Elephas maximus indicus: one gene and its partner. The protein of the gene in region 2 purifies or fractionates together with the protein of the main gene of each other region. This does not show direct contact. Links are inferred from orthologs where the notes say so. Each region holds a gene or a part of one and is shown on either strand. Other genes may lie near its edges.

The links.
Region 1: the proteins of DTL (region 2) and COPS4 purify together in Homo sapiens (affinity purification with mass spectrometry; 3 studies listed by BioGRID). This does not show direct contact. The link is inferred for Elephas maximus indicus from reciprocal best matches to the Homo sapiens genes DTL and COPS4.

Annotation. Positions count from the first base shown.
Region 1 is NC_064823.1:73,287,116-73,303,907, forward strand, and holds the start of COPS4 (COP9 signalosome complex subunit 4), read right to left. Parts: upstream 6,100-16,792; 5' UTR 5,969-6,099; coding exon 5,895-5,968; intron 1-5,894. UniProt on the Homo sapiens protein: Component of the COP9 signalosome complex (CSN), a complex involved in various cellular and developmental processes.
Region 2 is NC_064842.1:634,518-650,539, reverse strand, and holds the start of DTL (denticleless protein homolog), read right to left. Parts: upstream 8,966-16,022; 5' UTR 8,845-8,965; coding exon 8,793-8,844; intron 1,189-8,792; coding exon 1,063-1,188; intron 264-1,062; coding exon 165-263; intron 1-164. Other genes in the region: INTS7 (integrator complex subunit 7), read left to right, coding at 9,296-9,389. UniProt on the Homo sapiens protein: Substrate-specific adapter of a DCX (DDB1-CUL4-X-box) E3 ubiquitin-protein ligase complex required for cell cycle control, DNA damage response and translesion DNA synthesis.

The DNA of each region.
Region 1 (16,792 bases), on a different chromosome or scaffold from region 2:
CTCCCTCTCAAGGCTCTTCTCCTCTCCTGATGTTTTAAGGCAGGCTTCGAAAGGCTCTTTCAAGTATTTTAAGATTCTATTCAGGAGCAATGATTCAGCCGATGATAACTACAAGAAATTACCAGAAACTTCTACACATACATTATATGACATCATCCTGACCTACCTATGTTTTCTTATATCTATATTATCTTAACCGGTCAGATCTAAATGTAAACCTTAAGAATTTTAATAAATACGCAAATAATCAACCGTCTTAGTATTTTATTTCTTAATGCTTCACCAAAGTACATTACCTATTTTCAGTTACCTCTACTTTTTAAAAGCTAGTGGAATTTCCTACCAGTTTGCTAATAGCACAATATATTTGATTTCCTATAGTAACTACAGAAAACAGTTTATTTTCATACTTCAATGTTTATTGTTTAAACAAAGTTCTTTTCTCAAGGAACTCTACTCCTATACCACAGGAAGGAGTAATTTAGTTTTAAAAATTATTTATTTAGGAATAAGATATCCTTGTTTATTTATTCATTGCCTTCCATAATGACAAAGCTTTTTTTCTTCCTTTTTAAATAAGACTTGATACTGGCTACAGTGTGATGACACAAGACATGCAATACGGCAATACATACCAAGCTACAAAAGTGGTGTGGTGGGTGCATCTGACTTCCTCTAACTTCACAAGGAAGGAGAGAATCACCAGCAATAGCCCAAAGATGATTCTTAAGTGGTAGAGATCAGGCATGCCTCCAATCTCCAATCTTTTTTACCAATTCTGACACCAACCATCCCTCCGATGGCACTCTCTAATTCTTTACCGTGTTCAATAATTTGCTACAATGGCCACACAAGACTCACATACCACACTCACGATTATGGAGTTTACTGGGGCAGGAACAGGTTATAATTCAGGTTCAAGAATGCTCAGGATACACTTCTTCAATCAGGACAGCATGTTCTCAGCCGTGCCCTCAGGCACACCTCTTTCTGGCCCCTCGGCCCGGCCTCTGTCCTGCTCAAGCAAGTGTTACAACAGTCTTTTGGCTCTGCCAATAAGTGCCCCAAGGCATCCCACTCTACCACTAAGCCGCAAACCTGAAGGCACTCGATTTTCACACTCTGTGTGCCAGGAAGCCCCACCACAGCTGTCTGGTGCTGATCTCCTGATTCCTGCCATCTCATGATGCCATCTCTTGCTGTCTTCTGTGTTACAGCTCTTCTCTCTGCCTTCTGGATCTAGGAGGTTATCAACATAAGGTTCTGGGTTCAAAGGACATACTCCACCCCTGGCTCTTCCTTCTTGGTGGTGTTGAGATCCTCTCTTCCCACTTCTGGAATGGCTCATTTTAAGCCTAGCAGGATGGCAAAACTGGCCAATCCCCTTGATAGGGTTCCAAATACCTCGTTGGCATGGACCCACCCCCACAAGGGTGCCATGCACCTTATTTACATTATTAGATAGCTATCCAATCCCAGTGGTGGGCCACGAACACCTCAATTGCATAGTCCCACCCAGTCACTTGGTGGGAGTTACAAATACTATGGCTAAAAGGGCCATATTAAGCAATTCATTGCACTGCACAAGCCTTTAAAAACTTTACAGCCTTTTTTCACCCAGCAATTCTCCTTAGGTAAGAATATTCCAAGTGGAAAAGGAAAAGTGGCCGGAGAATATTACATGCCTCTAGCTTCTCTATGTCTTACAGATACTTCCAGAAGTATGGCAAAGAGTGAAAAAAAGACACACACTGGAGCTAATTTCCAGCTACCATCTTCTCCCCAGTGGAAATATATTGGTTTCCAAACACTAGCTCCACCACCAGTCCCATTCCTCGCTGACTCCAATTTATTAAAAATTAATAAAGATAACAGATCTCTCCTTCTAAAGTGGCTAGAGCTTCCTACATAAGAGGACTGCTATGTAAAGAATTCTGGTTTTCTACTATCCCATTCCTCTTCAGGTAAAGCACTTGCGTAGGGCTAATAATTAATCTTGGTTACTTGTCCTTAGCAATCTGGGAGAATAGGGAAGCAGGAAAATTAAATTAAGCCTGAAGAGTGGGGTTTTCCACAGGGTTCACTTGATGGCCAGCCTGTGCTCTGCAGAGACTCTGCTTGCACGGTTCAAAGTAAGTAAGAGGATCAGAGATCATTTCCTAGTAGCTACCAAACCAAACCCACTGCCATCGAGTAGATTCCAACTCACAGTGACCCCTTAGGACAGAGCAGAACCACTCCATAGGGTTTCTAAGGAGCAGCTGGTAGATTCGAGCTGCTGACCTTTTGGTTAGCAGCCGGGCTCTTAAATCACTGTGCCACCAGGGTTCCCTAGTGGCTACCATAAGCTATAAATGAAGTGTGCCTCTTTAAGCAATAGTAGGCAATTTGCTTTCTACCAACTAAAGCAGCCTACCAAGAGAGAAGTGAATCTGAATCTGAGGCTGCAGCAATGACAAAATTCCCTACCATTAAAACAAAAAAAAAAGTCATGAAAGTTAATTCTAGAAAACTATGGTTTAAAAAAATAATAAGATAATCATCAAAAGGTAAATAAATGAAAACATTGTGAATTTAATTAATGCCACTGAATTGTACACTTAAAAATGTTTAAAATTGCAAATTTTATGTTATGTATATTTGACCACAATAAAATTTAGGGGGAAAAAAAGGGTGAATAAACCATACTTAGGAAACCCTGGTGGCGTAGTGGTTAAGTGCTACGGCTGCTAACCAAAGGGTCGGCAGTTCAAATCTGCCATGCACTCCTTGGAAAACTCTGGGTGGCAGTTCTATTCTGTCCTATAGGGTCACTATGAGTCAGAATTGATTCAACAGCACTGGGTTTGGTTTTTGGAAACCATACTTAATCTTATCTATGAATTCTACTTTTCTAAACAACATTAGTGTATTACCTTAGGTAAATAAGTTTTCTATATTCTATTAGGTTGAACTATGGAAAAAATCCTAATATTCATATGGTTCAACCTAATATAACTCCCTTTTAAAAATACTCAAATTCTTTCTGCAGGGCAATGAGTTTCTCTTTTTGTACGGCCTTTCTGGCCATGGTCTTATAACTCCCCCAAAATGACTGGGTGGAGCTATGCAAATAAGGTATGTAAAACTCTTGCTGGGATTGGCTTCATATGCAAATAAGGTGCCTGCCACTCACCAAGGGGATTGGTCAGTTTTGTCATCCCTCTAGGCTTAAAAAGAACCAATCCCAGAGGTTGAGGGGGACCTCACTACCATCAAGATGAAGAGCTAGGAGCAGAGCATGTCCTTTGGAACTGGGTCCCTGCACTGAGAACCTCCTAGCCCCAGGAGACAGACAGCGTAACACTGGAGATGGCCAGAGGCCTGCCTGCAGGCACAGCCAAAAAGAAGCCAAACAGGGCCCGGCTGGAGCAATGCTCCTGTTACCTCTAAGTTTATCCTGATCCTGAACTGTAACATGTCACTTCCCTAACAAGCCCCATTAATTGTAAGTATGGTCTGTGAGTTCTATATAGCCACTGCAATGAATTATTGAACCCAGCAGAGAAGTAGAAAACCAACTTACTCTATTATTCACTAATACAGAATCCTTTGCTGTCTAGCTCCTAGCATAAACCCTAAAACAACTGTTCTATTTCAAAAGTGTTTCTCTCATAAAGCATGTATCCCACAAAACTGTTCTGTTACAAAGATAAAGATCTTGACACATTCTTGCTCAAATAGGAAGACATTTCATTCCTGCTGGAAGGTGGACAGAATATGTACCTGCTGAAAATAAAGAAACTCTGAAGGAGTTGCTAGCTAGCAGTGCACTACCAGTTACCAAGCACTTATGTGACTGGCAGCAAATAACAACAACGAAAGGGCTAAAAGCTCTATATGCATTATTTTATTTAATCTGCACAATAACCCCACATGGTAAATTGTTACAGTAATGGCCTTCAAAACGTCTCCTTCTGTTCATGCTCTTTTGCAAAGTAACCCTGCTGCTCCTACCAGAAGAGGCAGACTCCATTTCTCCTCCTCTTGAATCTAGGCTGGTCTTGTGACTTACTTTGACCACTACTGGAGAACTGATGTAAAACTTCCAAGGCTAGCCTTAAGATCTTGCAGCTTCCACTCATCCTCTAGGAATGCTACCTTGGCCGTGTAAGAAAGTCTCAGTTAAATCACTAAAGGACAGAACATGTAAAGAGGAGAAGAAGAAAAGAGAGAGACACACACACAATGACCCAGTCAACAGCCAGATATCAGTCCATTTTAGACCCTCCAAGCCCCAGCTGAGCTGCCAACTGACTGCATCTATATGAGTCCAGCAGAGACCAGAACACTTATTCAGCCCACAGAATCCTGAGAAATATTAAATAGTTGCCTTATACTAGTACATTTTGGCTTGCTACAAAGCAATAAATAACTGAAGTACCCTAATGAGATCAGTACTGTTGTTACCTCCATTTCAAAGCTTTGGAAGTAAATGCTTAATTCAAGAAATCTGCAAATTTTTGAAAAGCAGTATCTCTTTTGATAACTAGTGCACATATTTTTCTTCAACAAAATAAAAACCAAGCAAGCATGGAGAAAAATATAAGCTAGTTTTACTTTTATCTGAATCTATAAAAATTACGTTCGAAAAGGATTGAGCCATGAAGACAATATTCAACATATTTCCAACCTACAGAGTAAGTCAGTATGTATGTACTGATTGCTTAATTAATAATAGTACTAATCTTATGGCGCTTTCTGTCAGGTACTGATTTTAAGTGATACACACACACTCACTTTATCCTCCAACAATCCTATGAATAAGTCCTATAATTATCTCCATTTCCCTGATGGGAAAATAGGGGCACAAAGTAGTTAAGCCCAAGATACACAGCTAAGTTTCTACTGATAAAAGCAGGTATTTACCACCAGAGGAAAGGCAGCACAGACTAGGTACATAAAAAAGATCTCAATATCCAGGTTAGGGCAGGTGTATATCATTAATATAAATCGAAGTGATCTCAGTTGTCAGAATGTAAATTTTAGGGTCAACTTGAGAGGCATACTTCTTACAGAATGCGTGTTTATTACAGAAGAGCAGTACTGTGAAATCCACAAGGGAAACAGGGAATGAGTAGATATATGTATACTGTTTAACAACTGACTGTAGGGCAGTGAGGGGCAAACACCTGTCACAATTTTTATATTCTAACTTGGAGTGGACCAAAGCCTTCTACACAAATTCCGACAGAATTCTAACAATCCAGATTCCTGCAAATATCACTACACTAGACATCCAGACCCACGTTATGAGGGCACTCCGCCTATGTGACAGAAATATATTCCCTCTTCTTCAGAGCTGGTGGCAGAGAGAGCACCAAAAATACAAGAACTCACAGATGTTCCGAGTGATTTTGGGCGACATGATAGCGGCCATACCTCCTCAGCCTCAGTCAACCCGAAGAAGCTATTTCCCCGAGAAATTCTTAAGCAAGGCTCCAAAATACGAATTTTCCTCAATTTAAAAAAAAGGGGGGGTGGGGGGAGTTCCAAAGAGAAGCCAGAATTCGGTGTGAGAGGCCGGCCAGCGAAAAGAAGAGGCTGAGAAGGCCTTGGAAGTAACCGTTCTGCAGACCAGGCTTCCAGGATTCCAAGAGGCCTGTAACGGTGCTATCAAGGACTGAATAAATTGACAATCACCCCAGGACTACGGCCCCGAGGGCTCCTGCACAAGGTCCCCTCCAGCTTTCTGCTGCTCCCAACATTTGCCTCTCTAACCGACCTCAGGCCCGCCCCCTCGGTCTTCAGGCCGGCTCCTAGCCTGACACTCAAGAGCCGCCGTCAGTACAAGGACAACAAGTCGTGTGGCTTCCCTTGCCACCTCTACTCCCGTGCCCCTGGGAAACACTCACTTGCCCGCCAGATCTTTATGAGAGCCACTCGAATTCATGAGCTGGGCCAAATCCTGCCGCACCGCTGCCGCCATCTTTCCTCCAGCTCAGCCGCGGCTGCGGGGCCTCCCGCCGCCAAAAAGAAACCGAGCGCGGTCCTCCAGAATGCAGCTAGAGGGAACCCGAGAGGCCACAGAGTAGCGCGCGAGTCGGCCAGAGCGCCGGAAGTGAATGTGTGCGGCAGCCTGCGCTAGCTTAGCCCTCAGAGTTGAGTAAAGCGAAACTCCAAGCCTCACGGTAGGGACCCGCCCAGGCCTCGCCCACAGACCCGGGCGACGCCGTCCTCCTCGACTTCGGATTGGCTGATGAACTCCAAAGGAGTGTGCCGCTTGTGCAACTCACCGAGTGCCCGCATCGCTAAATTTTGTGTCTTTGTATCTGTGATTTACTGTTCCTTGGTCTTTAAGGCAGCGATTCTTAAACCACTTCTGGTAAAGAACGAGTTATTTTTGTTTAAAATTCATCGCAGACTGCTACTTTTGTTGCTGTTAGGCGCCCTGGAGTCAATTCGACTCATACCGACCTATGTATACCAGAACACTGCCCAGTCCTGCGCCATCCTCAGAATCGCTGCTGTTTGAGCCCATTATTGTAGCCAGTGTGTCAGTGCATTTTGTCGAGGGTCTTCGTATTTTTCGCTGACCCTTTACTTTACCGAATATGATGTCTTTCTCCAGGGACTGGTCCCTCCTAATAACATGTCTAAAGTACGTAATACCAAGTCTTGCCATCCTCCTTTTTAAGGAGCATTCTGATGGTACTTCCTCCAAGACAGATTTATTTGTTCTTCTGTCAGTCCATGGTATATGCAATATTCTTTGCCAACACCATAATTCAAAGGCATCAATCCTTCATCAGACTTCCTTATTCATTGTCCAGTTTTCACACGCGTATGAGGCGACTGAAAAGTACCACGGATTGGGTTAGGCGCACCTTAGTCCTCAAGGTGACATCTTTGCTTTTTAACCCTTTAAACAGGTCTCTTGCAGCAGATTTGCCCAATGCAATGCATTGCTTGACCGAAACAAGGATTTCCTTTTAAGCAAGTAATGGGGAGACTGCACATACCAATTCAGGTCACATTCTGTTGGCAAGAATTTAGTCACATCACTATGCCAAGCAACAGTAAAACTGGAAATTTAGCTTCCAATTGGGCAGCCTTGTGCCCAAGAAGGAAAGAATGAGTGAATTTGGATGGACGATCTGCAGTCTCTACCACAATCTTCCCTCTGACAAGTATCTGTGTATATCCTTCTCACAGCAGAACATCCTTATTCTCCCTGACTAAGGAAAGATGCTCAATTTCCTATTCGGTTTCTATATCCAGCTTAAAATCTAGGATATCTGGTGATGCACAATCCTTTCTATGAAGTTGTGTTATGACTTTTTCATGGTCTAGAGACTTGTACACTAAAAAAAAAAAAAAAGCTGTCTGCCCCATGCCCACACACATACAACACAATATAATACAATAGTGGGGTAGGAAGAGGATAACCACAGTTACTGAATGAGAAACATGGTAGTTACTGGTCCATAGCAGTGGTAGAATACTAACCTGTTACCATAAAGATTACAGCCTAGAAAACCCTACCCAGCAGCTCTACTCTGTCATACGGCGTTGCTATGAGTCGAAATCAACTTGATGGCACCTAACAACAACAGTGCCCTGGTAGTGGAATAAATTCTTTGGTTAGTCCCTGGTTTTGCTCTCTGAAGATCTCCATTGCCCATTTTATTCTGTGGGCTCAAGCTTTGCTTTCCTTTTACAAGTTAGCTGTATGTTGCAGAGTATGCCCTCTTTGGGTGATGCCTTAGAACTTGATCAACTGAGGAATGTTGTAAGCCAGGCTTGTCCATTTTTTGTTGTGTTTTAATACTATTCCATTGAACATGTAGTATGATCTGACTGTTTGCTTCCAGATAGTTTCATGTGCCAGTAACCACACTGAAGTTCTTTCTAGGTATAGTTCTTCAACCTGTGGAATTTCCTTGCTTCCATAGCTCAACCTATCCTTATTGCTCTCGTTTTAATGGAGGAAACCTTGAACCATCTAAAACGAGAGGCTTCTGAGAACTTTATTAATTTTATTTTTGCTGCAAGCTTGCTTATCTTTGTTTTCTATTATTTTTTGTTTGTGGTTACAGAAGTCTTAATGGGCCATGAGAAATGGTTTAAACTAAGCCTTCTCTCCTGCTGCTTAAGACTGCATAAACAGACTCAACTGAAATAAAACGGATCATAACAGAATACTATGAAAAACTGTACTCCAACAAATTTGAAAACCCTGAGGAAATGGACAAATTTCTAGAAACACACTACCTACCTAACTAACACAAATGAGGTAGAAAAATTAAACAGAGTCATAACGAAGAGATTGAAGAAGTAGTTTAATAAACTCCCCCTCCCCCCCCCAAAAAAAGCCCTGGTCCAGATGGCTTCACTGGAGAATTCTACCAAACTTTCAGAGAAGAGCTAACACCAGTACTACTCAAGCTATTTCAGAGTGTAGAAAAGGAAGGAATACTCCTGAACTCATTCTATGAAGCCAGCATAACCTGATACCAAAGTCAGGCATAACCCTCATGAACATAGGTGCAAAAACTCTTAACAAAATTCTAGCCAGTAGAGTCCAACACATCAAAAAAAAAAAAAAATACATCAAGACCAAGTGGGATTCATACCAGGTATGCAGGGATGGTTCAACATTAGAAAATCAATCATCATAATCCATCACATAAATAAAACAAAAGAAAAGAACCACATGATCTTATGAATCGACACAGAAAAGGCATTTGACAAAGTCTAGTACCCATTCCTGACAAAAACTCTCAGCAAAATCGGAATAGAAGGGAAATTCCATGATATAGTAAAGGGCATTTATACAAAACCAACAGCCAACATCATTCTAAAGGGAGAGAGACTGAAAGCATTCCCCTTGAGAATGGGAACCAGACAAGCATTCCCTTTATCACCACTCTTATCAACATTGTGCTAGAAGTCCTAGCCAGAGCAATAAAAAAACCCCATTGCTGTTGAGTCAATTCTGACTCGTAGCGACCCTATAGGACAGAGTAGAACTGCCCTAGAGAGTTTCCAAGGAGCGCCTGGTGGACTCAAACTGTTGACCTTTTGGTTAGCAGCCGTAACACTTAACCACTACACCACCAGGGTTTCCAGCTAGAGCAATAGGCAAGAAAAAGAAATAAAGGGCATTCAAATTTGTAAATGTCTTAGGCCGGGTTCCCTAGAGAAGCAAAACCAGTAAAGTGTATAAATATATATAAAAAAAAAAGAGAGAGAGAGAGAGATTTATATCAAGGAAATAGCTCACACAGATGTAGAGGCTAGAATGTCCCAAGTCTGTGGATTATCATAGAGGCTTCTCCTGATTCACAAAGCAGCAGAGGCTGGCAAACCCAAGATCTGCAGGCCAGAGAGCAGGGCTTTTGCTCATAGGCTTCAAAGATCGATGAATACCAAGATCAGCAGCCAAGGCTGCAGTAAGGACCACATTCCAGGACGAAAGGCTATACCCTAGGAATTAGGGCAAAACCCAAACAGACACACCCAAACAATACCTAAAACCAAGTTTCCATAGCTGTGCCATTCAGTACAGTAGCCACTAGGCACATGATCATTTAATTTTAATTAAAATTAAAATGTACTTTCTCAATGTATTAAGAAAACGTTCTGCATCCCACTTTGGTGAATGGCATCTGGGGTCTTAAACACTAGCAAGCAGCCATTTAAGATGCATCAATTGGTCTCAACTCACCTGGAGCAAAAGAGAATGAAGAACACCAAAGACGTAAGGTAAAGATGACCCTAAGAGACAGAAAGAGCCACATAAACCAGAGACTACACCAGCCTGAGACCAGAAGAACTAGATGGTGCCTGGCTACAATGGGTGACTGTCATGACAGGGAACACAACAGTGAATCCCTGATGGAGCAGGGGAACAGCGGGATACAGATCTCAAATTCTCATTAAAAGACTAGACTTAATGGTCTGAATGAGACTAGAGGGACCCCGGAGGTCACGGTCCCCAGACCCTCTGTTAGCCCAAGATTGGAACCATTCCCAAAGCCAACTCTTCAGACAGGGATTGAACTGGACTATAAAACAGAAAATGATACTGGTAAGGAGTGAGGTTTTTGGCTCAAGTAGACACATGAGTCTATGTGAGCAGCTCCTGTCTGGAGGCGAGATGAGAAGCCAGAGTGGGACAAGAGCTGGTTGAATGGACATGGGGAATACAGGGTGGAGAGGAGGAGTGTGCTGTCTCACTAGAAGAAGATAGCAAATTGTGTATAAGTTTTTATATGAGGGACTGACTTGATTCGTAAACTTTCATTCAAAGCACAATAAAAAATAAAAAAAAAAAAAGAGAGACTGAAGGGGGACATCAGCCTAGGGGCAGGGGCAGGTGGGGACAGGAAAGCTGGGATTGGGAAGCCCAAGGTTGAGAGGGGGAGAGTGTTGACATGTCGTGGGGTTGGCAACCAATGTCACAGAGCAATATGTGTACTAGTTGTTTAATGAGAGGCTGGTTTGTTCTGTAAACCTTCATCTAAAGTACAATTTAAAAAATGTACTTCCTCAGTCATACTAGCCACATTTCAAGTGTTTACAGCCACATGTGATTAGTGGCTATTTTACTAGACAACACAGATTATAGAATTTTTGGGGGAAAAAAAAGTTTCAATTTCCCTGAAACCTCACCAACATTTATTTATTTTATTTTTTGTATTATTGCCAGTATTGTTGGGGTGAGATGGTATCTCATTGTAGTTTTGATTTGCATCTCTCTAATGGCTACTGGGAAACCCTGGTGCATAATGGTTAAGAGCTACAGCTGCTAACCAAAAGGTCAGTAGTTCAAATTCACCAAGTGCTCCTTGGAAACTCTATGGGGCAGTTCTACTCTGTCTTTTAGGGCCTCTATGAATCAGAATCGACTCGATGGCAATGGGTTTGGTTTTTTGGTTTAATGATTAATGATCACGAGCGTTTCCTCATGTATCTGTTGGCTACCTGAATGTCTTCTTTGGTGAGTGTCTGTTCATAACCTTTGAAGCATTTTGTAGATTTTAGAGATTAGACCCTTGTCAGATATGTCGTAGTCAAAAATTTTTCCCATACGATCCAGCAATCCCACTCCTAGGAATATACTCTAGAGAAATAAGAGCCACAGTGTGAATAGACATACGCATACCAATGTTCATTGCAGCACTATTCACAATAGCAAAAAGATGAAAACAACCTGAATGCCCATCAACAGATGAATGGATAAATAAATTTGGTACATACACATACATGAAATGTTATGCAATGGTAAAGAACAACAATGAATCTGGGGAACATCTCACAACACAGATGAATCTGGAGAGGCTTATGCTGACTGAAAAAAGTCAGTCAAATATTGTATGAGGCCACTATTATAAGAGCTCAAGAAAAGGTTTACACACAGAAAAAAACATTCTTTGATGGTTACAGGGGTGGAGAGGATGTGGAAGGGAAACCACTAACTAGATAATAGACAAGTGTCAACCTCAGTGAAGGGAAGGACAACATGCAATGTAGGGAAGTCAGCACAACTGGACCAAAGCAAAAGTATAGAAGTTTCCTGGACATATCCTAATACTTTGAGGGACCAAGTAGCTGGGGTCGGGGGTTGGGGACCATAGTCTTAGGAGATACCTAGATCAATTGGCATAACATAGTTCATAAAGATGTTCTACATCCCACTTTGGTGAGTAGCGTTTGGGTCTTAAGAGCTTGCAAGTGACCATCTAAGATACATCTATTGGTCTCATTAAGTCCAGAGCAAAGGAGAATGAGGAAAACCAAAGACACAAGGCAAATATTAACCCAAAGGACTAAGGGACCACATGAACCAGAGACTCCACCAGGCTGAGACCAGAGAAACTAGATGGTGCCTGGCTACTACCAATGACTGCTCTGACAGGGATCACAACAGAGAGTTCCAGAGAGAATGGGAGAAAAATGTGGAGCAGAATTCTAATTCACGAAAAAAGACGAGACTAACTGGTCTGACAGAGACTGGAGGAACCCCCAAGACCGTGGCCCCCAGACACTCTGCTAACCCAGAACTGAAACCATTCCCAAAGCCCACTTTTCAGACAAAGATTAGACAAAAGATTAAATAAAAAATAACACACATGAGGAATGTACTTCTTAGTTCAATCAAATACACAAGACCAAATGGGCAGCTCCTGCCCAAAAGCAAGAGGAGAAGGCAGGAAGGGACAGGAACTGGACAAATGGACACAGGCAACCCGGGATGGAAAAGGGGAACGTGCTGTCATTATTGTAGGGATTGCAACCAATTTCACAAAACAATAGATGTATAAATTTTTGAATGAGAAATTAACTTGAGCTGTAAACTTTCACCTAAAGCACAACAAAATTTAAAAAAAAAAAAAAAAGATTGTACAAGCAGGTGGCTTTTTCAATTTGGTGAAGCCCTAGATTTTCTGGATATTTTATTTCCATCTCACCCTGACTTCAAACTTGACTTATAATACCTTGCTAAAAGCAGCAAAAAGCAGTCACACATACAAACTAGCTCTTTCCAGATAATTGCACTAGTGCTACAAGCTAAAGAGGAAGGCTTTCTGCCCTCCTAGTTTTCGTAGGCAGCAATTTTAACAAGGCTTCCTCTTTCTAGCCTGCTCATTCCCGCTGCCCAACCTCTAAGAGAATACCACATATTTTTAGGTTTTAGTTATAGCAGTGAGGAAAAACAAACCTGAAGGCAGTGGAGGATTATTATCTCCCTCCTTTGAGTTATTTAACAAGGACTTATCTAGGCACATCTGAATAAATTTAAAGAAAATGCACAAATTCTAGCTAATTTTTACTATGCAAAACCTTTGGCCCCAGCCCAGACCTACTGGATCAAAATCTGTATGTTAAAAAAATCCCCAAGTAATTTTGTTTAAGAAGCATTGTTCCAGCAGATGCCAACCCCATTGGTATATTAACTCCTTTAGCTAAATTCTAAGGACCCCTGGTGGCACAAAGGCTACTAATTGAAAGGTGGGCAGTTCACACCCACCTAGTGGCTGCCCTGGAGGAAGACCTTGTGATCTGCTTCTGTGAAGATTACAGCCTAGAAAACCCTATGGGTCAGCTCTACTCTGTCACATGGGGACGCTGTGAGTCAGAATTGACTTGATGGCACCCAACAACACCTAAACTCTGGTCTAATAAGGCCATTTCCCTGACTAGGGATTTTCCTGCTGTTACGTACTCAACTAGATGGCGCCTGCCTCCTCACAACTTCCCCATAAGAAGTCATCATGTGGTCTTTTGCTGGAGCATCTTCCACTTTTGTCCCCTATGCCCAGCCCAAATATATCCCTGTGCGGGAAGAAGAGCATGGGTGATTGTACATATTCTGCTGTTTCATTGTCAACAAATCCTTACTCTACATTTTTCTTCAAGTTATGAGTTGAATTTTATCTCCAAAAAATATATATAGAAGTCCTAGCTGCCCTCACCATGTGAACGTGACCTTACTTGAAAATAGGGTGTTTGTAGATGTAACCGGTTAACACGAAGTTGTACTGGAGTAGGGCGGACACTAATCCAATAGGACTTGTGTCCTTATAAAGGGAGAAGAGCCACAGATGCAGAGACAGATGTAAAGCTGGCCATGTAAAGATGAAAGCAGAGATTGGCGTCAACGCGGCCATAAGCCAAGGAATATCTGGGGCCACGAGAAGGTAGAATAGGCAAGCAAGGATTTCTCTCTCTCCAAGAGCCTTCAGCGAGAGCATAACCCTGCTGATTTTGGACTTCTATCCTCCAGATCTCTGAGAGAATAAATTTCTGTTTTAAGCCACCCAGTTTTGGTACTTTGTTACAGCAACCAAGGAAACTAACACACTCTATGTTGCTAGAGCTAGGTGGCAATTGGCTGTGGGTTCATCTTGAGTGTTTTCTGAACTAGACAACAAATAAGCCATTTCTCCGAGAAGCTCTAGTTCCTTGTAGTGAGGAATGATATTTAAAGACCATAATCTGAGTGATAGTCATGTACATTCCTACCGTATTAGTCATACTGGGGCCTCTTCAAAGGAGAGAGCCAGAAAATATATACATATTTTAAGGATCAAATACTTCATGAGTTCATACTGATCATTCCAATTCCAGTTTAGGACTAGAGTGGTTTTACTTAACATTTTCTATATTACATCTTTATCTATGTATTTCCTCATTCAGAATTCTGGTTCACAGGTACATAGGGGATGATAGAATGACAGTATCCCGAATTACTCATTTTCTTCATCCCACATGACACACACAACAGCCTCAGAATAACCATACTAACACCCTGATATGATTAATGAAAACAGGGGAATATTTTTCTGCATTTCCTCTCCCCACTGTCCCTCGTTTTTTATAATTGTTCTATATATTGTCAGCACATATAGCCCTTACAAGCTATACTTTCTCCCTTTTGGTTCTCATTTAGTTTTAGTTCTACAAGTAATATTTAATGCTCACCATTAGTTCTTTGTAATATTTCGATGTTTTTGGATTCTGTTAAGGCTTGCTTCATGACTTAATATGTGGTCTATTCTAGAGAATGTTTCATGTGCGCTAGAAAAAAAAGTATACTTGGCTACTGTTGGATGGTGTGTTCTGTATATGTCTATGAGGTCAAGTTGGTTGATTGTGGCATTTAGACCTTCTGTGTCTTTATCGAGCTTCTTTCTGGATGTTCAGTCCTTCACCGAAAGTGGTGTCTGGAAGTCTCCCACTGTTATTGTGGAGCTGTCTATCTCACTTTTCAATGCTGTTAGAGTTTGTTTTATGTTATCTTGAAGCCCCGTCATGAGGTGCGTAATTATTTAATATGGTTATATCCTCCTGGTATGTTGTCCCTTTATCACCATTAGTTCTTATGGAGCCCTGGTAGCATAGTGGTTAAGAGCTTGGCTGCCAACCGAAAGGTCAGCAGTTCAAATCCACCAGCCACTCCTTGGAAATCCTATTGGGCAGTTCTGCTCTGTCCTATAGGGTCACTATAAGTTGGAACTGACTCAACAACATCTAACAACAACAATAACAATTAGTTCTTATACTGATATCTCTGTAGTAGTTTTCGTTGTCTGAAGCTAGTTCTTTATACATTTTCTCAGGAAGGTCATGGAAATAATATTCTCTGCGTACATGTATGTTGGTAACAGATTGTGACTTTTATGTTAGAAAATCAGTCTTGTTACATGTAATAACTCTCGATTCATTTTTTTTGAGAATCAAGTTTGTTACTGCAATTTCTTGTGGCATGAAGCATTGCTGAAAAATATCTGATGATAGTCTAATTTTTTTCCCTTATAAGTCATTCACTCTTCTGGCCAAGATGCTCAAAAGATTCTTTTTCTTTAAAGTCCAATAATTTTACTAGACTATGTGTTGATGCTGGTCATTCTGGGTCAATATTCTCAAGTTGATGTTGGTCATTCTGGGTCAATATTCTCAAGTATATAGTTTAGTGTTCTTTTACAGTATGTAGCTTCAATGTTTTCAATAACATTTTCTTTATAATTTTTCATATGTATTCTATTCCTTTGGTTTTCTTCATCAGAGATTACTGTTATCTATATGTTAGATCTTCTTTGCCTAACTTCAATATTAGTCACTTGTCCTCAACATTCTTTTATTTCTTTTTGATTTTAAAAAATTTCTACTTTTTCCCTCCTATTTCATCTAAGATATTATCTTATTCACCCTTGGTTTCCTTCTAGTTTAGTCTTCATTTCTAAAGTGATATTTTTATTCCTAAGTCATTCCTGAGTCCTGTCACTCCTCTGTATACTTTTCTTTTCACTTTAACTAGTGTTCTACTTAAATATTGATCACCTTTCTTTTTCTAACATTCATTATTAAACACTTTCCTCTGTTACATGGGAATAAGTGATCAATTATTTCCTCCCTTCTGAACACTTTACTCCCTCACCATTTCTTTATTCCATCTCAATAAATGAGACATTTAAAATATTTCTACTTCGAACTCTTCACCCCCAATTAAAACATTTAGAATATATTTACTTCTGCTCCTTCTACCCTAATTCATAGGTTTCACTGAGATAATTGGTACTTTTTGTTCCATTCCAGTAATAATTTGGCTTCCCTTTGCAGTATGTCTCTTCTATTTTGAGAACCTTTATTTACTGTTTGCATTACACATTCATCCCTAGTTACATTACCATTATTCATTTACATAACTATATAAATTCAAGATTCATATAAATTCAAGATTCATTACTCACCACAAATTCATCTTATCTTCATTTTCCCTGTTTTGATATGAGGTCTTTCTTTTGATTAGTTTATTGTTTGGTAGGATTTGCTCTCAAGTGATACTTCAGATGCTATACACAGGCAACATTTGTGAATCTGCACATCTCCACAAACATTTTTCTATCACTCTTACAGTTTAATGGGATTTTGACTGAGCTGCTGTTCTTTTCTCTCTGCGACCTGTAAATATTACTTCACACTTTTCTAGCTTCCAGGACTGCACATGAGAAGTCCAATGCCAGTGATTTATATCTCCCTTGCTTTCTTTTATCCTTCTTTTCTCATTTTTCTTCTTCTTATTTTTTTATATTTGGCAAGTTTATTAGTCAGGATTATCCACAGAAATAGAACCAACAGGAGAGAGAGACAGAGAGAGAAAGATTTGAAGAAATTGACTCACACAATTGTAGAATCTGGCAAATCCAAAATCTGTGGGCCAGGCAGCCTGGAAACTCCAGCAGAATACCTATGCTACAGTCTTAAAGTAGAATCCTTCTCCTCTCAGAAACCTCCATTTTTGCTC
Region 2 (16,022 bases):
TTTTTAAACTTTCAATGAAAGTACTGCCACAGTGAATAGTTATTGAGAGATAGGTAGTTCACTGTTTACTTTCAGCCTGGTCCCTAAACGAACTTCACCAGAAGTGAATCGACATTTTATGAGTTAAGAAAATGTCAAAACAAAAACCGTAGACCAAGACTTACCTTTGAAGCAGGTCTTTCTGCCAGTTTGTGATTTTGTGTTGTATAATCTCACAAAGCCCTCTTCATTGGCAACTGCTAGGATATGCTCCATATTGGGGGCTAAACCAGAAACAAACAACAGAATATATAAAAAGTACAACAGCACAAAAACTTTACAGTTCAGTGGAAGGATAAAAAGTACTATACAATAGATGAAGTGAAAGCTACAGGGTAAACACAAAGAATCTGTTCGAAGTAAGGGCAGAAGATTTTACTCGAATGTCATCTGATAAGGTAGGGAGGTAATTAGAACAAAAGGTTGCTTAAAATTTGCCATAATTTCTAATTCAGCAAATAACTCCAAAGCACCCAAATTATCTTCAGATAATCTCTTACTGAGAGAGAAGTTGAATTAAGGATGAAACGTTAAAAAAAAAAGTGGTACTGGCCAATGGCAAATAAAGGTATACGATGATAGAAGTCACCAACAGGCTGAGTCTACTTGTTTCAAATTTCCTCTTCCCAACCTTTTACACTCTTCTGCTAACAGTGGGATCGAGTACTTATATTTCTGTTCACGTGTTCCCCAATGCATGACAGAAAGAGAGAAATTCAACCAGATTAAATGGTTATCTACAGGGCAAAACAGTTGTCGTGATGGCTGAACCTTGGCAGCCCTTCCTCTACACCAGTTCAAAAAGTGGTGCTGTGGTATCCTGTGCTTTACAGAAAACTTATAACTACACACAGAGATTAAGGAAAGTATATTTCATAAAACTGGACAGAACAGCTATTAGAAAAACCCCATCACCTGCCTAACTTACTTTTCCTTGTAAAGGAGACCTCCCAGTACATTCTTCTTTCCAGTGTGAGACAGATTATTTCTGTCCCAGTCTAGCCCAGATAGTAAGACCCTTACCAGATGAGAAGGTACATCCAAAAGGAGGGACTGGGACGCCTGTTTCTCCATAAGAAGTGTGTTCATCACCATAGCTGCATTGGTAAGCAGTTAGAAGGGACTGTAGAGGGTATTGCGAAGACCACCCTAAAACAAGACACAATTCCTTATGGAATTCCAATATATCATCACATTTCGATACTTTTAACAAATGCAGAGGTATTTGTTCTTAAAGGGCTTTATATAGTCAGTATGGGTCCACTCACTAACCATGGTCCTCTAGAACGCACAGTTTCTAGTATTTTCTTAAAGGGTCTAAGGAAGAAGTAGAAGAGTACTTCCAACTACTAGCGAAGTAGAGCTTTGGGCTTACCATCTTAAATGGAGACAGACTCTCACAAGACACTAATGGACTCTGCACATTAAAAAAGATTCTCCCTCCCCTGCCAAGATATCACCACAAAAGCATTACCGTTAAAACTGCCATTCCCTTCAATTGAAATATTGTTTTTGGAGTCTCTAAATCAACACTACTTGCTGTGTACCATCAAGTCAATTCTGACTACTGGACAGAGGAGAACTGTCCCCATCTGGTTTCCTAGGCCATAATCTTTATAGGAGCAGATCACCAGGTCTTTTCTCCTTTGCAGCAGCTGGTGGGTTTCAACCACTGATCTTTTGGTTAGCAGCTGAGCACTTAACCACTGTGCCACCAGGGCTCCATAAATTAAAAAAAATGCTACTACATACTCTTAATTACTAGCAACATCATACATAATCCAGTGGTCAAAAGAGTTAAGAGATGATATACACCAATGTGCCTACTATCCCAGTAACATAGTTACCAAGAGAACACTAATACTGCTTCCTCTTTCCTTTCCAGTCCTGAAATTCTAGAATTCTAAAATGTTAACACCAACAAGTCCTAGTATCTTAAGGTAAATTAGAGCAATTTTAAAGTAAAGTGTTATGTACTTAGTCCTAGAAGAATCATCAGTTAGCTTTGGCTAGTAGGGTAGGAAAATTCTTTAGAGGAGGTGAAAATAAACAAAGGTCATGAAAGATGAGTAAGTTTTCACTGAATGCAGAAGACACAGCAATAAATTCAACGTGGAGGGAAAGTTCATTCTGCTTTGGTCAGAGACCCAATGTGCAGTGTGGTCCTAAACAGTAAGCCTTGTTCAGGGACTTGTTTTTATTTTAATGATGTGTGGGTCAATACATCTTAAATATATAAAGGAAACATTCATTCAACAAGGGCTTACTGAGAACCAAATTTCATAAGTATAGAAGGAAGCAATGACTGACAATCTACTGAGAGCTGTCTAAATAACAAAAATACAGAACGATGGACGTGCTAGAGATAGAGAACAACAATCTGTGGGGCAGGAGAAAGAAAACTACTGTATGTGCCCAAATAGGTCAAGCTTTTCCCTGAGAATGATTGCTCTAAAAGAGGAATTTATATTCTAGTTCTCACAAACTCTCTCATGCTTTCAATTCTTGCTTTTCACTAAAAGTACTGTTTGGAGAAGCCACCTTAGCCTGACATATTCTCAGCCACACTAACCTTGGATGGTCATAGAGATAACTGGGAGGGGTCAATGAAAAGGAGGCAAAGAAATTGGACCCAGATTTAGTAATTATTCCTGGGAGTATCCACCACAATTTTCAGGTCAGACATCGTTGTAAACAAGCCTTTAAAGACCAGAAAAAACAGCAACACAATAAGTGGTTATGTTGTAGAGTTCACAAATACCCGTCTACAGAATGAGTTTTAAAAACAAATGCTTCTGTTCTAATGTTACGTAACTATATACTTGTGGTTTAGGATTAAAAACCAGAATCTATTCTGGAGCCATTGAGTTTGGATGAATCCCCAAAACTATTGCCTTGAAATAATCTTTAAAACTTAAACAACAACAACAAAATCGACCCGTGAAGTCTTTAAACCAAACAGTTTGGCTAATTAGTAAAGACTGCCTTGAACATTGTGCTCTTTTAAGATCTGAAAAAAAAAAAAAAAAAAAACCAAACCCACTACCATTCCGACTCATAGTGACCCTACAGGACAGAGTAGAACTGCCCCACAGAGTTTCCAAGGAGCACCTGGCAGATTCCAACTGCTGACCCTTTGGTTAGCAGCTGTAGCACTTAACCACTACGCCACCAGGGTGGGATTAAATTGACAGCAGCAACTCTGGAAAGATTAGATAGGATACTTAGGGGCCAGAGAGTTTATTCTAATGGGGGAGGAACAATTTGGAAAAGGAGGGTAAGAATAGCTGCACAACTTGAAGAATGTAATCAATAACACTGAGTTGTACATGTGGAAACTGTTGGATTGGTATATGTTCTGCTATGTATATTCTCTACAACAACAAAAAATAAAATGTATTATAAAAAAATCTAGGGACAACTACATATGAATTAAAAAGGGTTGAATCTCAAACAATTTAGGTAGAATTGAAAGTGATATACTCTGGAAAACCTAATTCTTTACAATTATGCAGTGACCTCTCAATTCTGCCTCATTGTCTACAGACTGGTATTCAAACACCCTTGTATATAGCCTAACGTACTTGGTGACTGGTTCCCGCCTACTCCATTTCTGCACTCCCCACAACACACTCCATGTTATCAGTCACTTTTGGGTCCTTATTGTGCTACGCTGTTTTCTACTTCTGAACATGCACCTGGGATGCTTTTCCACATAACAGCCATTTGGAAAAACCTATTCTTTCCTCAATGAACAATTAGCCCCTAGGGTTACATGTAAATTTCTCAAGAACTACACAAGGGCAGAATTTTCAGAGAACCAACTGTCAGATCTTCAACTTCCATATATATATTTCTAAAACTGATCTGAGAAGGTCGAGGCTTTCCTTTCCCCCTCCCTCATCATCACTGCCTTTCTATACTTTCTAAAAGAAAGGCATTTCCACTCCCCGACTTTTATACCTTGCATTGACCAAGGTACAAATGCTTCTAGGACTGTAACTAGAAGACGATTGGATAGTTCCTTTGTTAAAGACCTCATAAACACTCACCCAGATCCATCTCTTCAAAAGATGTACTACCAATGAAATTTGATTTTTTGCTTAACAATTATTTATCAAAATAAGTAATCTACACCGTTTTGATCAATTGTGTACTACTAATAATCATAGTAATAACTCAGTCCAGAAGAAACTTCTAACAACTGGAGCCCTATGACAAAGAAATCATCAATGTAAAAATATTTTTGACACAGAGTAGTATAATAAGTGATTAATAAAAGAACTTTTCGGACATAAAGTTAAATTATATTGGGATAAATTCTGTGAGGGAAATAAAATGCAAAAAAGTTAAAGGGGGAAAAGTAACTATGTAATATGTAAAGCAGTTAAAGAAGATTTTGTTCATATTTTTAAAAAGTGAAGAATGTAATCCACAAATCATCGTAGTTTTTATAACCTAGTCGATACATTGGATTGCACTGGGCAAATCTGGTACAAAACACTTCTTTAAAGTGTTACAAAACAAAGATGTCACTTTGAAGACCCAAGCCATGGTATTTTCAACCATCTCATACGCATGAAAAAGCTGGGCAATGAATAAGGAAGACTGAAGAATTGATGCCTTTGAATTATGGTGTTGGCGAATATTGAATATACCACGGACCTCCAGACGAACAAAACCAATCTGTCTTGGGAGAAGTACAGCAAGGATGCTCCTCAGAAGTGAGCATGAAGACTTCATCTCTTGTACTTTAGACACATAATCGGGGGAACCACTCTCTGGAGAAGGACATCATTCGTGGTAAAGTAGAGGGTCAGTGAAAAAAAGGGAGATCCTCCATGAGATGGACTGGCACAGTGGCTGCAACGACGCACTCAAGCATAACGGCGATTGTGAGGATGGTGCTGGATCGGGCAGCGTTTCATTCTGTTACGCGTAGGGTTGGTACGAGAGTCAGAGCCGACTCCCCAGCAACTAACACAGAACACACCTCAGTACTGGCTGTCATGGATTGAAACACGTCCCCCAAAAACATGTGTGTCAACTGGGCTAGGCCATGACTCCCAGTACTGTGTGGTTGTCCTCCATTTTTTGATTGTAATTTTATGTTGAGAGGATTAGCGTGGGATTATAACACCACCCTTACTCAGGTCACCTTCCTGATCCAAGGTAAAGGGAGTTTCCCTGGGGTGGGGCCTGTACCACCTTTTATCTCTCAAGAGATAAAAGGAAAGGGAAGCAAGCACAAAGCTGGGGACCTCATGCCACCAAGAAAGCAGCACCAGGAGCAGAGGACATCCTTTGGACACGGGCTCCCTGCGCCTGAGAAGCTCCTCGATCAGGGGAGGATTGAAGACAAGGACCTTCCTGCAGAGCCAATAGAGAGAGAAAGCCCCTGGAGCCAATGCCCTGATTTGGACTTGTAACCTACTAAACTGTGAGGAAATAAATCTCTCTTTGTTAAAGCCATCCACTTGTCATATTTGTTATGGCGGCACAAGATGACTAAGACACTTGCTTTTTTATTTTGTTTTATTTTGAGTGGTCAGCCATTGTGGCCTCTTGAGTCCCCCAACTTTAAATGTCTGAAGGCTTCTGGTCTCCCTGGGAGTTGGCTGAGATGCAGAGGCAGCCAGGGCTTACCTGTACATGCACTTAAAGACCAGTTCAGTAAAAGCACACAACTTAAAGAAAACACTCTTGAATTAAATTCTCTATAAGCACATGCATTTCAGTACTCCTTTGGCTACGTGACTACATAAATCCCCTTCCTCGTAAGTCTTTCTAGCTTACGGGTTCCTTGGTAAACTGATGAATAGAATAAAATTCTTGACATGTGTCTCCTATATTTTGCATTAAGAACCCTGTTTTTAACTTTTTTGAAAATTACTCCTTGATGGGTGTATTACAGGGATCTTCACAGAAGTGACGTTTTACCTGGACTGGTTCCCCCATCTGATTCCCTGTCTTTCAGGACCTCTTCCCTGAACCCCCTGAGTAGGATGGGGGCCTTTAGTAGAACAGTAGTGTTCCCCCAAAATGCCTCAGGCAAAATTTCCTCTATCATTGCTTATGATATTGTTTTTTAAAAGTATGTGTGTTATTTCTGCATTCTGTCTCTTAGAACTTGTTTTTAATTACATAAGTAATGTATGAATGCATTCTACAGGCAGTCCCCTGTTGTTCATAGGGTCGTTACAGGTCAGAACCGACTTAAAGGCTCCTAACAACAACAGATACATTTAAAAAGGGATATAACATTTTAATTTTAAATGTCAGTATTCACAATATCAAAATTTATATTTTTTGTATCTGTTTAAACTTAAGATAAAAAATTTTGATACCAATTTAAAAATGCACAGGAGTGATCAGATTTCCATTCTTGAAAATATTTCTGGCAGCAATCTGGAGAATAAACTGGAGGGGGGAAACTAAAAGGCCACTTGGGAGACGTAAGAGTCCAGATAAGACGGTATTAGGGCCCAACTCAGGGAAATACCGTGGTAAGGAAAGAACAGGTCTAAGATGGAGCGAAGAGGCAGAATCGATGGTGATAGAGAAGACAGGACAGAGTCCAGAGGCTTCACAGAATCTTTTTGAATGTATATAGTAAAGATAGAGGAGTCTTGGATGATTTCAAAGTTTCTGGCTAGGAAGACTGGTTTAAAATAATGAGCCCAATCCCTAAATTAGGTAATACAGCAGGTTTTGGGGAAAACAGTTCAGTTTTGGGCATCTGAGTTTGAGATGATCATGGAACCAAATATCTGGGTGAAGATGTCCACACAGCTTTTATAGGAATGGGTCTAAAGCATAGGGGAGGGAAACTGTAGCAGTGGAAGAGGCCCTGGTTATGACACTGAGCATCTAATAGAGTAAGTGGAAGAAGAAAACGAGCCAAGGATGGAACACTAACACTGAAGGGGTAAGGAAAACAAGACAGTCCTGTAAATTTCAGTGTTTAACGTATAGCAGGAGTCCCTGGGTGGTGCAGTTAACGCGCTTGGCTGCTAATCAAAAGGCTGGTGGTTCGAGCCCACCCAGAGGTGCTTTTGAAAAAAGGCCTGGCGATCTACTTTCAAAAAAGCAGCCGTTAAAACCCTATGGAGCACAGTTCTATTCTGACACACATGGGGTTGCCATGAGGCAGAATCGACCATTCAGCCAGCAACTGGTGGTTAACAGGTAGCAATGAATGAATTCTTGTGAATTGGAGAAAGAAAGGGAGAGGAAGAAGTAGACAGATAGACTGGAGAATTAGGAGAATATTTGTGGCAAGATAGAGGGGCTTGCCTCAGGTCACACAGATAGCAAGGAGAGGAGCTGGAATTAAAACTCAGTCTAACTCCAAAGACAGAGCTCTTCATCACTGTGCTGCCCTACCTACCGATCGTGACACAGAGGTCAGAGAAATTTCTCATGTAAGGTCCTAGGAGAGATAGTAAGCAGGGAATTTAGAAAACAGCCAAAAAAAAATATTTAAGAGGGAAGTTAGTAGGGATGGTATGTAGTGTTAGACTGGTAGCGGGAAGCTGAGGGGCTGCTCCTCAGTCTCCCTCCCAACATCCTTTTCCTAGACCTTCCTCTTAAATACAGAAAGTTCCCTTCTCAGGTTCTTTCCTTTTCGTTTTCCACAGAGTTTCAAGGGGAAGGAAGACCTTCCAGTGTAGTCAACATTAAAATATGTGACATTTAATTTGTCTAAGTCTAGCCTAGGTAGCAACTCCCTTATCAGTTTAAGTTTCATACAGAAAGTTTTAGACACCGAACTCCAAGTTCAAAACTCTTGCTGACAATGTTTTATAAGGAATCGAAAGAGCTGTAGAGAATAAGTTGGATTTCTACATAATATGGAAAGACATCCAAGTTATACCGTTAAAATGAAAAACAAAACATTTTTATCTCATTTCCGTAAATAACAATACATATTACCACTGGCATAAAAAAACACCCAAAATACTATACTTCAACCATCAACAGTGGTCCTCTCTGGGGGATGTTCTGATTACGGAGATCTTTCATTCTATAATTTCGAGTTTTTATGAACATGTAATAATCAGGAAAAAAAAAAAAAAAGACAACTTTTGACCTTCTAGAAGCACATGGTCTAACTTTTCTGCTTGAGCAAGTTCCTTAGCAGCGCGTCCCACTCATTCGTGGATCATCTAGACATCGGTTCTAGGACCAATGGATGAGTTAACGCACACGCGCCGCGCACGTTGTCCAACGCCAGCACCTCAGTTAACGCTGCACACAGCTGTGGGGGGCGCCGCGCACGTTGTCCAACGCCAGCACCTCAGTTAACGCTGCACACAGCTGTGGGGGGCGCCGCGCACGTTGTCCAACGCCAGCACCTCAGTTAACGCTGCACACAGCTGTGGGGGGCGCCGCGCACGTTGTCCAACGCCAGCACCTCAGTTAACGCTGCACACAGCTGTGGGGGGCGCCGCGCACGTTGTCCAACGCCAGCACCTCAGTTAACGCTGCACACAGCTGTGGGGGGCGCCGCGCACGTTGTCCAACGCCAGCACCTCAGTTAACGCGCGCCACAGGCGCGAGGCCGTAAAGCGCCCCGGGGGTCAGTCAGTTAGCTCCCCGCCCCTCCGGCCCGCCCCGAGGCGCTGAAAGCACCTTTCCTCAGCAGCCCGCGCGAAGGCTCTGCTGGCGCCGCGGGACACTCGCCGGGCCCGGGTGTCGTGTTTCGGGGAGGTGACCCCCAGCCACGAGCGGCGGTTAGGACCGTTACTCACCATTTCTCGGGACGCCAAGCTGGGGCTGGCGGAGCACCAAACTGAAGAGCATCTGGGCCAGAGGAAGACGCGCAGTTGAAGAAAAGGCTCTGAAATGCCCTAGGTCCCGCAGAAACCGCAGCCTGCACCCCAAGAACAAGACCAGGCGCTGCCTTCCACTCCCGCCACTGCAGGCTCCAGCCACCAAACTCCGCGCCAAACTGACGTCACGCTCTCTGATTGGCTCCCGCCGTGGCGTCATGGCGCCGCAGAGTCACTTCCCCCTCCGGAGCCCCGCCTCCTCTTCGCCGGTCCGCGGGAACCCAGAATTCAAGAGCCCCTTGAGCGCCTGCGCGGGGGGTCGAAGAGGCGCTGGCGAACCGGGGGATGGCCAGGGCGCATGCGTAACACGGCTTGCCAGCGCGCGGAGGGAAAATCCGCGAGAAGGCGGTGAAGGAAGATGGCGGGGTTGGGGCAGGGTTTGCGGCCTTTCTGAATAGGCTAGTCAAGTAACTATTCAGGTCATGGCGTCAAACTCAACTAAGTCTTTCCTGGCAGATGCCGGCTATGGCGAACAGGAGCTAGATGCGAACTCCGCCCTTATGGAACTGGACAAAGGTATGGGAAGGAGAGGGGGAGCCGGCTGAACGCATGAGAGGGAAGTGGCGCCCCCAGGTGGCGGGAGCCTCGGGAGAGGCGGCGGGAGCGCGTGAGAGGGCAGTGGCGCCCCCAGGTGGCGGGAGCCTCGGGAGAGGCGGCGGGAGCGCGTGAGAGGGCAGTGGCGCCCCCAGGTGGCGGGAGCCTCGGGAGAGGCGGCGGGAGCGCGTGAGAGGGAAGTGGCGCCCCCAGGTGGCGGGAGCCTCGGGAGAGGCGGCGGGAGCGCGTGAGAGGGAAGTGGCGCCCCCAGGTGGCGGGAGCCTCGGGAGAGGCGGCGGGAGCGCGTGAGAGGGCAGTGGCGCCCCCAGGTGGCGGGAGCCTCGGGAGAGGCGGCGGGAGCGCGTGAGAGGGAAGTGGCGCCCCCAGGTGGCGGGAGCCTCGGGAGAGGCGGCGGGAGCGCGTGAGAGGGCAGTGGCGCCCCCAGGTGGCGGGAGCCTCGGGAGAGGCGGCGGGAGCGCGTGAGAGGGAAGTGGCGCCCCCAGGTGGCGGGAGCCTCGGGAGAGGCGGCGGGAGCGCGTGAGAGGGAAGTGGCGCCCCCAGGTGGCGGGAGCCTCGGGAGAGGCGGCGGGAGCGCGTGAGAGGGAAGTGGCGCCCCCAGGTGGCGGGAGCCTCGGGAGAGGCGGCGGGAGCGCGTGAGAGGGAAGTGGCGCCCCCAGGTGGCGGGAGCCTCGGGAGAGGCGGCGGGAGCGCGTGAGAGGGAAGTGGCGCCCCCAGGTGGCGGGAGCCTCGGGAGAGGCGGCGGGAGCGCGTGAGAGGGAAGTGGCGCCCCCAGGTGGCGGGAGCCTCGGGAGAGGCGGCGGGAGCGCGTGAGAGGGAAGTGGCGCCCCCAGGTGGCGGGAGCCTCGGGAGAGGCGGCGGGAGCGGGCCGGGGTGGCCGAGGGCTTCGGCGGCTGGTGGGAACCAGAGGAAGGCTGCAGGGTCGCCCTGTTGGCCTTGACCGCATAGCTGGCTGTCTTACCGGCGAGCTCTCGTCATGGGCATTTTGGCCACTTGAGGGGACGATCCCCTGGTTTTCCAAGCACTGAAAATGGCTCGTTTCTAAAAATGCTAAGGTGAAATTATTTTTTGATATGTTCAGTTGAGCCCAGGTTTTCATGAAGGGTGCCGAAGAATAATCTTGCGCCAGCGCTGTGAAGATTGAGTGGGTCTCCGTAACTCCTTGCTGCGTGCGGGATGCCACGCAGCTTAAACTCGGGAAGGCTTGGTCTCCCCCGTCCCCGCAAACGGGCTCCCCGAGCCGTTTCCTAGGCGACCGGGCGGGGGCGGGCTTCCTAGGGTGGAAGGAGGAGCTTTGGGTGCCCTGAGTTCAAGTTCAGTGCTGCAGGCTTCATCGTCACGGACAGGTACCTTACTTCACCTAGCCTCGGTTTATCGGCGTGGGAAGGGGGTGCAGGTACTAATGAGAAACTTGTTCCACTGCACTTGAGGAATTTTTATTGTGTAGGAAAAGCATATTTTGCAGCTGATACAGTTAATTCTTGATTATCCGCAGCCAGTGTGTAATGTACTGAGAATTGGACCGTGAGTCAGAAGGATCTGCCTGTAAGTCCCCTCTGAGCCGACTTGGACATGTCTATTAACTTCTTTGGAACTCCTTTTTTGATTTTCTTTTCTTGTTTTGCTTGTTCTTTAACCTGTAAACATTTTTAGTAGGTTGACTAGATAAGAGTTTCTCACACTTTTTTTCTCTTTTGGCATTTACCTCCTTTTTATCAATATAAAAACGTCACAACGCCCCAATGGACTGTTCCTTTGCTTGAGTCTCAGTATCTTTATCCATCTTCTCTAGCCAAGAAAATGTTTAGCTTTGCTTTCGATTACCAAAGCTATAAGTCTTTCCCCTGAAATATTAAATTGTAATATTAAACATGTTTTTTAAACACTACACAGTCTTTCCCTCTCCATCCTGATAGGCTTTTCTCCCTTATTCCCCAGTGTGAGTTGTGGGTCTTGTGCTGTCTGATACACAGCTGGCCTTGTCCCATGCTGACAGCAGGACAGTGTTTGTACAGCCGGGATCAGGATGGGGCACTGAAGAAATGAGAAATCTAGAATTATTTAATTTCTGAAAATTTGCAGTTGTGGTAGAAATAACAACTAAATTTTCTCTTAAAGAACAGTTGAAATAGGAATACTTTAGGTCAGTAAGGAATAAGTGGATGGCTACTGACTGTTCAGCTGGAAACCAGATGTCAGCCCTCGATCCTTAGTGTTTATGTTCAGTTCTCCCAGCAGTGCCCTGGGGAGTATTGTACAGATGAATCTCAGACTCAGAAAGATAACTTGTCCAAGATAAGTACAAAACTCTTGTTCTTTTTCACCTCACCATGCTGTACCTTTGAAAGCTGTTAGAAAATTAAACTGCAGAAATAGTTTCATTAGACTATATAGTATTTTAAATATTGAATCATTTCGTTTTTTACCTATTAACAATGTTTTATGTTTTGTGAGCCAAAGGTCATAGTCAGAAGGCTACAAGTTCCAACTTTTTGTTTTCCAGAATGTAGTCCGAGGAATACTGTTTATGAAGTATTTAAAAATCCCTGTCTCTCTCTCTCTCTAACACACGTGCACACACACACATCTTATTTGATCAGCAGTTAACAAATGAAGATCAGTAGACTCATTTTTACATATGACTGAGTGCTATATCTTGTGACTTACAAAGGGAATTATTAAGCATTTCTAAGAGTTGGTATTCACAGGCTGAAATTAGTATTCTAAGAAATGTGGATAATGCACGATATTCCATGTATCCTACTATGTACATTTACAGGCAGAATTTCTGAAAATTGGGGGAAGGGTGCTTTATTATTAATTCATTATCAGTTGAGCGGACTGTCATTTCAGTTGTTTTTATTCCTGCTTTTTAAATGTAAATTACCGAGGCTTTGTCCTTATCAATTTAGTGAGCTTTGGGTTATCAGAGAGGTAGCTGCCATCAAATCGACACCAATCATGGCGACCTTATGTACAACAGAATGAAATGTTGCCTGGTCCTGCACCATCCTTACCATCACTGTCATGGTCGAGTCTGTCATTGTGGTTGCCATGCCAGTCCATCTCACCAAGGGTCTCCCTCACCCACCCTCTACTTCACTAAATGTGATATCCTCCTCCCATGGTTAATCCTCGTTATGAGACATCAAAGCAATCGAGTCAGACAGTGATCTGTTATGATCCATAAGGTTTTCATTGACTAATTTTTAGACATAGATTGCCAGGCTTTTCCTCCAAGTCTGTTTTAGGCTGGAAGTTGTGCTGAAATCTGTCCCCCTGCCGTGCCGGCAGCAGTCGTGGTTGTGTTCTTAGTGTACAGTGGTCGCAGCAATGGCTGCAACATCCCTGGATGACAGCAGAGCTAATTGTAGCATCTGGTACTCATGGTGTCAGAATCTTTTGATGAGGGCATTCTTCTTCAGGTTGGATGTAGCTAGCAGCGGAACCCCTCTTAGGTCAGGATTTGATGGACTGAGCTCCTGTTTTGGGGTCCTTAGCTTAGTCTTGAGTCGAAATTGGCTTTAGAGCAAGCAAGATGGGTACCACAGCCTCCCCAGCCTACGGTTATCGCTGAGGCCATAAAGCACTTCTCTGCCCTCTTGCACCCAGGTCCTGTCTGTCAGCGCCAACCTAAGACTCTTTCTCCTAAGACTGTTACATCAGAAAATAAACCAGAGATTTATTACTATTTGGTTCATTTATCCTATGGCTCTGTTAGAGGAATGGGGGTTTATTTTATCTTAGATAAAATTAAGCAATACTAGAAATCAGAACATGTCTCTGACCATATCAAGATTATCTTTGGTACATTTTAGACCGGCACATTTATTAAATCAGTGTGGCCTGTGACTTTGTTTTCTAAGGGAAGATAAAACGTGGTCATATCGGTAGGGGAGTCTCCCCACACATGGGCTATTCCTGCTTTATCTTTTTCCCAACCAAGGTAAATTCGTTACAGAAGGAGCTTTACCATCCTTTGCATTTAACTCGACAACTGGCAGTGAGAAGCGGAGGAAAAAAGTCCTCTTACTGTGGATTTTCCCAACAGCCCCTGCCCCCGTGCGTGCACGTGAGCGCACATCTTCTGTTCCTTCTCCCTTCCTCTCACCTCCCATCCTCAGCCCTTGCTTTCCTTCTTCTGCCCTTCCCTGTGTCCTTTGCTGCCCTATCTGCTTGTCGCTTCACCCTGGTTTCATATCGGGCTTTTAGAAAAGTCTTCCTCAGGCTACAGGAGCCACTGCCTGTGACTTAGAACGTCCCGACCACACTGCCTGTTTGGTGGGAAGACTCTTCTAGAGTCTCAGAGTGTGTGAGAGGGGGAGGGGGAGGACAAGAACAAGGGATCAGACAAAGAAGGGGCATGTTCCCAATATCCCAATCAGGAATTTCAATTAACTTGAGTTAATTTTCCTGTAGAAGCTTCTGTCAGTGGTTTATTCTGTAAGTGGTTATTAGGTTCTAGACTGCTGTGCGTGCTGGTGAATTGTTGTAGCTCCTGTGAGGAAATACGTTTCAAGTATTCAATAACTGACTTGAGTGTATTTACAGAACATAACCGGTTAGTAAGTTGTAGCAACTGCCAGTGCACACTTAGTTTAGTCTTTTGTATTGAAACAGTGGCACCCAGATAAAGCCTTCATGTGAACATATCCCTTGTCGTTTTTTAACAACAGCAGAAATTACTGAACAAAGATTTATTTATTCCTTCTGCAGATATAATCCACATTTTTGTGAATGGTAAAGTACTAGAAGGGAATATTCGAAGCTGGTGCTATTAACTTCATATCAAAGTATTCTTTTTTTTTTCTTAATAGATTTTATTATGCCAGTTGACTTAGATGTCCTCTGAAACCATTTGCCCATGATACGCTGGCTTTCAAAGCGTTCAGTTTATTCAGGAACCTTCTTTGCTTTTGGTTTAGTCCAGTTGTGCTGACCTCTCCTGTACTGCGTGTTGTCTTTCCCTTCACCTGAAATAGTTCTTATCTACTCTCTAATTAGTGAATGCCCCCTCCCTCCCTTTTCCCTCTCTCCCCTCTCTCGGGACCATCAAAGAATATGCTCTTCTCAGTTTAAACTATTTCTGGAGTTCTTATAATAGTGGCCTTACACAATATTTGTCCTTTCCCAGCTTACTAATTTCACTCAGCACAGTGCCTTCCGGGTTTCTCCACGTTATGAAATGTTTCAGGGATTCATCGTTGTTCTTTATCCACGCATAGTACTCTGTTATGTGAATATACCATAATTCATTTATCCATTCATCCGTTGATGGGCACCTTGGCTGCTTCCGTCTTTTTGCTATTGTAAACAGTGTTGCAGTGAACAAAAAAACAAACATGGTGTGCATATATCTGTTCGTGTAAAGGCTCATATTTCTCTAGGATATATTCCAAGGAGTGGGATTGCTGAATTGTATGGTAGTTGTTCTATTTCCAGCTTTTTAAGGAAGCGCCAAATCGATTTCCAAAGTGGTTGTACCATTTGACATTCCCACCAGCAGTGTATAAGTGTTCCAGTCTCTCCACAACCTCTCCAACATTTATTATTTTGTGTTTTTTGGATTAATGTCAGCCTTGTTGGAGCGAGATGAAACCTCGTTGTAATTTTGATTTGCATTTCTTTAATGCCTAACGATCGTGAGTATTTCCTCATGTTTCTGTTAGCTGCCTGAATGTCTTCTTTAGTGAAGTGTCTGTTCATATCCTTTGCCCACTTTTTAATTGGGTTATTTGTTTTTTTGTAGTTGAATTTTTGCAGTATCATGTAGATCTTAGAGATCAGGCACTGATCGGAAATGCCATAGCTAAAAACTTTTTCCCAGTCTGTAGATCATCTTTTTACTCTTTTGGTGAAGTCTTTGGATGAGCATAACCCAACCCACTGCCATCGAGTCAATTCTGACTCATAGCGGATGAGCATAGGTGTTTGATTTTTAGGAGCTCCCAGTTATCTATTCTTCTGCATTGTTAGTAATATTTTGTATACCGTTTATGCCATTTTTAGGGCTCCTAATGTTGTTCCTATTTTTTCTTCCATGATCCTTATTGTTTTAGATTTTCTATTTAGGTCTTTGATCCATTTTGAGCTTGTTTTTTTGTGCATGGAGTGAGGTATGGGTCTTGTTTCATTGGCCTTCTCTGCATTGATTGATAAACATGTGGTTCTTGTCTTTTATTTTATTTATATGATGGATTATATTGATTGTTTTTCTAATGTTGAACAACCCTGCATACCTGGTATGAAACCCACTTGGTCATGGTGAATTATTTTTTTGATATGTTGTTGAATTCTATTGGGCTTGAATTTTGTTGAGGAGTTTTGCATCTAAGTTCATAAGGGATACAGGTCTATAATTTTCTTTTTTTTGTGATGTCTTTACTTGGTTTTGGTATCAGGGATATGCTGGGTTCATAAAATGAGTTTGGGAGTCTGTTGTAATATCGCCCATCTCATTTCTTATTCGGGTTATTTGCTTCCTCTCCTGTTTTTCTTTTGTCAGTTTGGCCAGTAGTTTATCAATTTTGTTAATTTTTTCTAAGAACCAGTTTTTAGTCTTCTTAACTCTTTCAGTTGTTTTCCTGTTTCCTATTT